Linked DNA regions of Mus musculus. The protein of the gene in region 1 purifies or fractionates together with the protein of each later gene. This does not show direct contact. Links are inferred from orthologs where the notes say so. Each region holds a gene or a part of one and is shown in the gene's direction. Other genes may lie near its edges.

The links. The genes of interacting proteins can lie anywhere in the genome.
Region 2: the proteins of Cdh5 (region 1) and Ctnnd1 purify together in Homo sapiens (affinity purification with western blotting; 3 studies listed by BioGRID and IntAct, counting the BioPlex papers as one, with this or other methods). This does not show direct contact. The link is inferred for Mus musculus from reciprocal best matches to the Homo sapiens genes CDH5 and CTNND1.

What each region holds. Positions count from the first base shown.
Region 1 is NC_000074.6:104,100,210-104,104,585, forward strand, and holds the start of Cdh5 (cadherin-5 preproprotein), read left to right. Parts: upstream 1-1,415; 5' UTR 1,416-1,523; intron 1,524-4,376. UniProt on the Homo sapiens protein: Cadherins are calcium-dependent cell adhesion proteins. They preferentially interact with themselves in a homophilic manner in connecting cells; cadherins may thus contribute to the sorting of heterogeneous cell types.
Region 2 is NC_000068.7:84,615,907-84,619,754, reverse strand, and holds part of Ctnnd1 (catenin delta-1), read left to right. Parts: intron 1-2,811; coding exon 2,812-3,275; intron 3,276-3,848. UniProt on the Homo sapiens protein: Key regulator of cell-cell adhesion that associates with and regulates the cell adhesion properties of both C-, E- and N-cadherins, being critical for their surface stability.

The sequences.
Region 1 (4,376 bases):
TCCTTACTCTGATGTCCTCATCTGTCTTCACATGGTCTCAGGACGCTAATACTCCATCCTAATGTACACTCCTTTCCCTGGGCCTCCGTTCCAGTTCAGTTCTCAGAGGACCTGGAGGGAGTGATTGGCTACACCAACTTTGCTTTCGTTCACCAAGCCCATGTCTCTACTTGGGTGTCTAATGGGCATCTCCAACATTACCTACCCCAAACAGAAAACCCTTTCTTCCCCCCACCACACCCCACCCTACCCCCACAGTATTTTCTCCATGCCCGGAAAGATCTGCTCTCTTATGGTCCCTCTTTGCCTCACTGAAAAGCAGGACAAGTTGGGGACTTCCCAAACTTTTATGCATGAAGAAACCCAGGCAATTTGCCAAAAGGTACACTCTGGGGGTCTGTCATTTACTCTGAGCCAGAACCCTGAAATTTTTACTAACCCATCACATAATGAATGAAGAGAATCTTTTTCTTTTTTTTTTTTTTTCTTTTTTTTTGGTTTTTCGAGACAGGGTTTCTCTGTATAGCCCTGGCTATCCTGGAACACACTCTGTAGACCAGGCTGGCCTCGAACTCAGAAATCCACCTGCCTCTGCCTCCCGAGTGCTGGGATTAAAGGCGTGCGCCACCACGCCTGGCTGAATGAAGAGAATCTTGACCTCATCTCCCCAGCCTCTTGGTCCTGAGGGACCCTGGTCTACCTACTGCTTTGCTGTCTTCTTAGCTCTTCTTACTTTTTTGCTGACTCAGACCTATGGCTATCTCCATTATACAGATGAGGAGACTGAGGCATGGATCCCTGGTTGGTCCATGGTCACGTGAAGCCCATCACCCAGTATTTGTAAAGTGAGATGGGCCAGGCTGGTACCTTGGAACTGAAACTCACACTGCCCTACCTGGAAGAATCTGACAGGCAAAATCTGCTGCTGAAAGTGATTGTCTGTCACGTTTCTCAGCTGCCCGACTCTGAGAACTCCACAGCCCCCTTTCGTTCCACCATACTACAGAGTCGCCACGGAAAGCCGGCTCTGTGGAGAAGCTGAGGTAGCTGGGTTTCTGTCTGGGTTACTCTGTCCAGCGAGGAAACAAGTACCTTAGACCCACTAAGCCTCTGCTTTCTGAACTGTAAAGTGGGGGATATGACACCTGCCTCCCAGGGATGGCTGAATGCTCTGGCAGAAGCTTAGAGCCCCCACAGCTACCCCTAGGCTCACAGCTCCTCCGATGAGACCTAGAATTGAGGTATGAGTTGAATACCCCAGGCAGGTCCAAGGCTTCCACGGGCCCAGGCTGACCAAGCTGAGGCCGCCCACCGTAGGGCTTGCCTATCTGCAGGCAGCTCACAAAGGAACAATAACAGGAAACCATCCCGAGGGGAAGTGGGCCAGGGCCAGTTGGAAAACCTGCCTCCCTCCCAGCCTGGGTGTGGCTCCCCTCTCCCCTCCTGAGGCAATCAACTGTGCTCTCCACAAAGCTCGGCCCTGGACAGACTGCAGTGGAGAGAGCCTTCTGCTCACGGACAAGGTAAGTGAGACTCCCAAATCCCTCTCTACTCCTGTCTCATGGAGATAAAACTGGGAGAGTCCTGGCTTGCCCGTATGGGATGGCCACTGTAGGACTCTCAAGGGAACACAGCCTCTCCGGAGCCTGAGTCTCTCTGCTGGGGCCAGGGTAGGGCTAAAAAAAATGCATATCTCTTAGTGTGCAAGGACACAAACGGTTATCTCAGAACCAATGTTCAAGAAAGACTCAGCAGCCTTGTAAGTAGACTGTCGTACTCAGGGAAACTCCAGTGACCTGGAGCTTCTATGACTACCAGGCTCAAAGAGGATAGGATTTCCACTGTCACTCAGCAAGGACAAGGGCAGAGGACTGGAGTCTGGACCTTGGATTTGAGTAGGATCTGCTTTGTGTGGGATGGACAAATAACGGCTCTGTGATTCCCTTCCCTATCTACCAGGATTAGCTCTGCCTTCTGCCCAAAGGACAATCTGGTCCAGAGCTAAAGAGATAGATTTCCCAAGGTCTGACTTATATTCCCCTGCCCCGTTATCTCTACCTACAACACCTCGAGGGACTAGGGTGGGATTTGGGGAGCTGAAAGGGGTACTCGTTCCCTCTGTCAATATCTCCCACTTTCAAGATGGGCCTTCTGAGGTTCAGCTCTGGGCACTTGGAGTCCCATTTATGAGCCCTCTTCCCTCATCTCCCCTAGACTCTCAGAGCCTGCTTTGTGTTTCGGCAGTTGCAGGCAGGAAGGTAGCCTGTAGTTTCTCCCCCAACACCAGATACTCAGAGCCCAGAGCTCAAGAATTCTTGTGGCCGTACAGCTCAGCAAAGTCTCTGGAAGGCCCTAGAGACAAGGACCTCTGAGCCAAAAGCCCAGCTCAGAGACAGTGACCCTCGGCACTGATCCCAGCCTACTCACTTCGGTGTGGCCTTGGGACGGTAACCTAAGGTCTCCAAACCTTCATTAGGAGAGGACATTTTTGGATGCAATTCTATTCACAATCTGTGGTGAGCGGTGGAGATGGTTCATGCAGAAAGAATATTCCGACAAAACAATGGCTCCTGGATTTACTATCCAGTCCCAAGGAGGTAGATAGGGTAACTCTGTACTCAGAGACAACAACAGAGATCCAGAGGAGAGTTAGTGTGAAAATTGAGTCAGAATGACGATGGGAACTTAGATTTAGTCCTCCTCAGCACGGGCTCTTCCTGGAACCTGTGACTACATGGGGTCTCTGGCTTCTAGACCATAAAGTTGTAGAAACATCTTCAGTCCTTACTTGTGATATACACTCTTGGCTCTGGGCTTAACTCCTAATGAGAGGCAGATAGATAGCCAGGGAATCCTGAGTGGATTTACCCACTACCCCATAGCCATAGGTGGCTGTGAATACCACAAAGATTTGAAACCACAAAGCACAAGTCTCACACCTCCTGTTAGGGGGTCTCACCCATGTGAAAGGAAGGGCCAGAGTAAGAGAGGCCATATACTTAGCTACCCCTGCTGCAAGCACCTCCGGGCATCTGCGTTCATTAGTTACCCCTGGAGGAATGTGGCAGGCAAGCAAGACTCTAATGACAGTGGATGACTTCAAGGTTGGAAGCTTGAAGGGTCTGGGAGGCTGGTGGGTTCTGGGTTCTTTAGAACTGGGTTGAATGCTGAGTCGCAGAGAGGATTTTGACAGCCCAGAACAATTAGTGGGCAAGAAAGACACAAAACTCTCCTGCATCTGGCCTGAGCCCAGCCATTTGCGGACTGGAAAGTACCAGGTGACCCCAAGGGGCCAGGGGCAGCTGATCCTCAGGGCAGTCCTTCAAATTCTAACTTTTCACAATTAGGAGCTAGAAGAAGTTCCCAGTACCTTGAAGGGGTTAACCTGCCTACCCCGTAGTCTCAGCCCGACCATTGTGCAGCTAAACAAGAACCGGACATAGAGCAGGAAGCCTGAAGGGCCACACTTTTTTTCTCCCAAAGTTAGATGAGTCACAGTTGCACGGGAACCTCGGAGACACCAGCCACCGTTCTAGCAAAAATCTCAACCCCTGGCTGAGTGGACCATTTCTGGTTGCTTCCATCACCTCCTTAGCACCCCCTCAGTTGACATGAATAATTCCCAAGTGACTGATGGGACCTCTGGAATCCAGAGAGGCTAGCCAGACATGTGGCCACATAGTATAAAGTGGGAAAGGGATAGGGCTGACCCCATAGCCATACTCTATATTGAAATTTAGAGAAGAGGCAATCATATACAATTTAGACCACCACAGCCAGTATAAGGATAAACTGGGAACTGCCCTAAGAGAATGGTTCTACTGTTGTTGGAGAAATATAAAAAGTTCATCATAACCCTGCTCTAAGTTGGCATTGAGAGGAGAAATTACAGAGAACTTCTTGAAGGAAGGGTGGGAACCTGGAATTCTGGGAAGACTCGCACAGCTCCCATAAACTCAGCCTTGGTCTCCCGTCTCTCTGCGTGTCAGAGGATGATTCTGACTGCCTGGCAGATGCACAGGCCAGGAGGGAGAAATGGGGCTCAGGGGTGGACAGATAGTGGTGAGTGATATTTACCCCTGGAGAAGAACAAGGAAATGGGAGGATGAGCCTACGGCAAGACCAGGAAATTAGGTCAGATGTGAGGCAGCCGGTGGAATGCACAGACCAGAGAGGAGGAGGTCAAGACACCTGCATATCTGGGAGCGCTGTCTGTGTATATTGGGGTTCACTGTGTATATTCTAGTCCTCCTGCCCAGGGATTCAGTGTTTGTTGCCTTTATTACAGATGCAGCCACTGAAGCCCAGAGAGGGCAAAGCACAGACCCAAGACCACAGAGCACACGAGCCACAGGTCAGGCTCAAACAGACAAACA
Region 2 (3,848 bases), on another chromosome or scaffold:
TTGATTGGTCCTCACTCCCTTTCTTTCTTCCTTCCCTTTCTTTATTCTTGTTATTGTTGAGACAGGGTATCACTATTTAGCTCTGGCTGGTAGACCTTTTTTAAAGGACCCATTTTAGGCTTTGTGTGCTGTTCATTAGTGCCTTTGTCATGTCTCTTGTCGGGATTTCATATTTTTAAAAGGTTATTTTAAAAACTCTTACTTATGGGTGTGCACAAAAAAACATGTTTGGTCTTGGGCTGCAAACATTACTTTAAAATCAGGGTCTATATTTTCCAAGTTAAGAAATAAAGGAAGGCTTATAGTTATCTTGATAGTGAGGGTGCCCTGGCAGCTGTTCTCAGTCTTTGTAAGTAGGTTCATGACCTTCCAAAGCAAAGGTCTTGGCACTTTCCAAATGTATATTAGGTGGTATTGGCTAACCATAAACTGAATTAGTCTGGGACAGGAGTAGAGGCCCTATTATCTAAGCCTGAGTCACTGACACTCTTCAGATGGCGTGGTTAGCAAATTCAACTCCCATGTGACTCACCTTTTATTCCTAAAGGGGCACCAGATCTTAGCTGGTGTAAGCTAGCTAGGGTAGATAGATAGCAGCTATCATTAGAAGAGTCTGCCCAAGGAGTGGGGCTGAAGTCTGCTTGCTCTGACTTCCTCAATAGCCAAGAGAGATTAGACACAGGTGGGTGTGGATGACCAGACTGTTCCCTGCTGTCCTTTGAAGTGCCAGTCACATAGAGCGGGTTTGGGGCTTGGTTCTTGGGTTTATTCCAGGGTGACATTGAGTTTGGAATCCTGCTTGACTAGCAAGATTCTTGACTAGAAGAATTCTGCTTCCTGTTTCGGCCTTCAAGAATAGTGCAAGGTCAAACTTTCATAGCAAGGCAGTGATTAGTGGCAAAAGCACTGAACTTGAAAACCCTGGTTTTAGTTTGCCTCTGCCATTATCTATAGAGCCTTAAGCAAGTTATTGGGTCATTTGTGCAGTTTTGTTATTTGTGAAAGAATCTTGATCTACTGCCTATGAAAGAAGGAAGTATAAAGATAGACTTCCTTGAGTGACTGAAACAAAATCTGGCAGTGGCAATTATTTTTATAGTTGCTTGTCTTAAACAAGAAAAGTAAAATATGCTCAGCATACAGCCTAAAACACCATTCTCTCATGGACAGTTTGGTGTTTCTTGGGGTTTTCTTGAAAACATGTATCCTGTTTTCTCATTAAAAGGAAATATTTTTTCATATAGTGTTTAGCAATCTGCTTTTAAAACAAAACAACTTACTTTATTTTGTTTAAATGACATTTTAAGTTTAAAGGTGCCTTTACTATCAACCCCCTACTTCCCTTGGTTTTTCAAGACCAGGGCTGTCCTGGAGCTTTCTCTGTAGACCAGGCTGGCCTTGAACTCATAGAGATTTGCCCTGCCTTTGTCTCCCAACTACTGAGATTAAAGCCATGTGCCACTACTGCCAAGTCTATTTATTTTTTAATGAAATGATTTGTTCTACTGAGTTTTTTATTGTTTAATGATCAGTGTTGATACCTGTTAGGTAGGCTAATTTTCAATGTTTGGTGACTGTGGGAGTGGTTTTATGGAACAAGCAAGTCTTATTTGGAGAGTCCTACACAATAGAGTCCCCTATCCCAGTGGGAGCCCGGGGGGGGGGGGGGGGGGTTGGGTTGGTGGTGAGTGAGGTGAGCTCATAGATAATAGGGTTCTTCCTTTGTACTTATAAATAACAGTGTGACAGGCTCACCCTCTAGTGGGTATTGATGGTACTGAAACAGGAAGTGTTGCTTCTCATCTGACATCTTTCAGTTTCTTCTTCTGATCCAAGAGCTGGGACATTCCAATATATGTTGGTGTATAGGTGCCATTTGGCAGACATGGAAATGTAGAAGTTGAAGGATGGAACTCTTCTTGGAACATACCTGTCTGACTGAATAGCACGTGAGGCCCTGGGATGAACTGTGACAGCTAGTGTTCAAGTTTATGCCTCAGTAGTACTAAAGCTAACTCCTCAACAATATAGCCAGAAGTCCTCTGTTTTTCTTGATCAGTGCCTCTTCAATTTCCAAAATAGGGCGAGCTTAATAGTTTTGTTCCACTAGCTCTTTCCTGTGTGCGGATTCCTTGTGTGTTCTCTTTGTGATGAACGTTCCACATACTTGTCTTTCTCAATCAGCAAACTTCACAGGTTACTTTTTAAAATTTATTTATTTATTTATTTATTCATTCATTCATTCATTCATTCATTCATTGGTTTTTTGAGACAGGGTTTCTCTGTGTAGCCCTGGCTATCCTGGAACTCACTTTTTAGCCCAGGCTGGCCTCGAACTCAGAAATCCGCCTGCCTCTGCCTCCCAAGTGCTGGGATTAAAGGCGTGCGCCACCACACCCGGCCACAGGTTACTTTTAAGTTATTAAAATTGGACCCAGGGAGAGAGTTCAGTTGGTGAAATGCTTTTTGCACAACATGAGGACCAGGATTTGAGCTCCAGTACCTACATAACAAGCTAAGCTCTGTGGTGGCAGAGATAAGAGGATCCTTGGGTCCTGCAGGACAGTCAGACTAGTTTATCAGCAAGCTTCAGATTTGGGAAGAAACTCTGTCTCAAAAAAAAATAATAATAATAATGTCGAGGGACATTGAGAGTACTTGCACTTGCTCACAAAATTATTAAAAATTGACCATACAGAGGAGACACATGATCTCTGTAGAGCTGTGATCCTACCTTGAAGATGATTGGTAATAGGAATGTCTATGAAGCCAGATTTAACTGCTTGGTTCTTTGTTCTTTCAAAATTGCAGGAGCTATGAAGACATGATTGGTGAAGAGGTGCCGCCTGATCAGTACTATTGGGCTCCTTTAGCTCAGCATGAGCGGGGCAGTTTAGCAAGCTTGGATAGTTTGCGAAAGGGAATGCCCCCACCTTCAAACTGGAGACAGCCTGAGCTGCCAGAGGTGATTGCCATGTTAGGCTTCCGCTTGGATGCTGTTAAGTCCAATGCAGCTGCATACCTGCAGCACTTATGCTACCGCAATGACAAGGTGAAGACTGACGTGCGGAAGCTCAAGGGTATCCCGATATTGGTAGGATTGTTAGACCATCCCAAAAAGGAAGTGCACCTCGGAGCCTGTGGAGCTCTCAAGAATATCTCTTTTGGACGTGACCAAGATAACAAGATCGCCATAAAAAACTGTGATGGTGTTCCTGCTCTGGTCCGATTGCTCCGAAAGGCTCGTGATATGGACCTGACTGAAGTGATTACTGGTGAGTGCCAGGTTAGAGGTCACTGTTAATCTATAGACAGGTATGGATCTAGAACTTTCTAGACTCTTAACTTTTAATTAATTTATTGAATAATTAATTCTTTTTGAGTCAGGGTCTCACTGTGTAGCTCTGGCTGGCCTAGAACTCACTATGTTGAGCAGGTTGGACTTGAACTTGAAGTAATCTACCTGCTTCGGCCTCCCAAATTCTGTGATAAAAAGCATACACTACCATGCCTGGCCAATCCATTATCTTTTGATTATAGGTTCCGAGGTAGTGAGTAGCCTTGGGTCAAATCTGCTTTACAGATTTGATTGGATGACACATGACACACGCAATATTCTCCAACACATTGTGCATACCTGCATGTTTTCTTGTTTTTTTGAGGTAAAGTCTTTCTCTATGTAGGCAAGTTCTAGAACTCACTATGTAGCTTAGGCTGTCTTCTCACAGAGATCCACTTGCCTCTGCCTCCTGAGCTCTAGGATTAACGAGTGGGCCACCATTTCTGGTGCAGTCTGTTATTTTTGACCAACTATAGTAGTAGAGAAACTTGTTTTCCAAAGACACAAG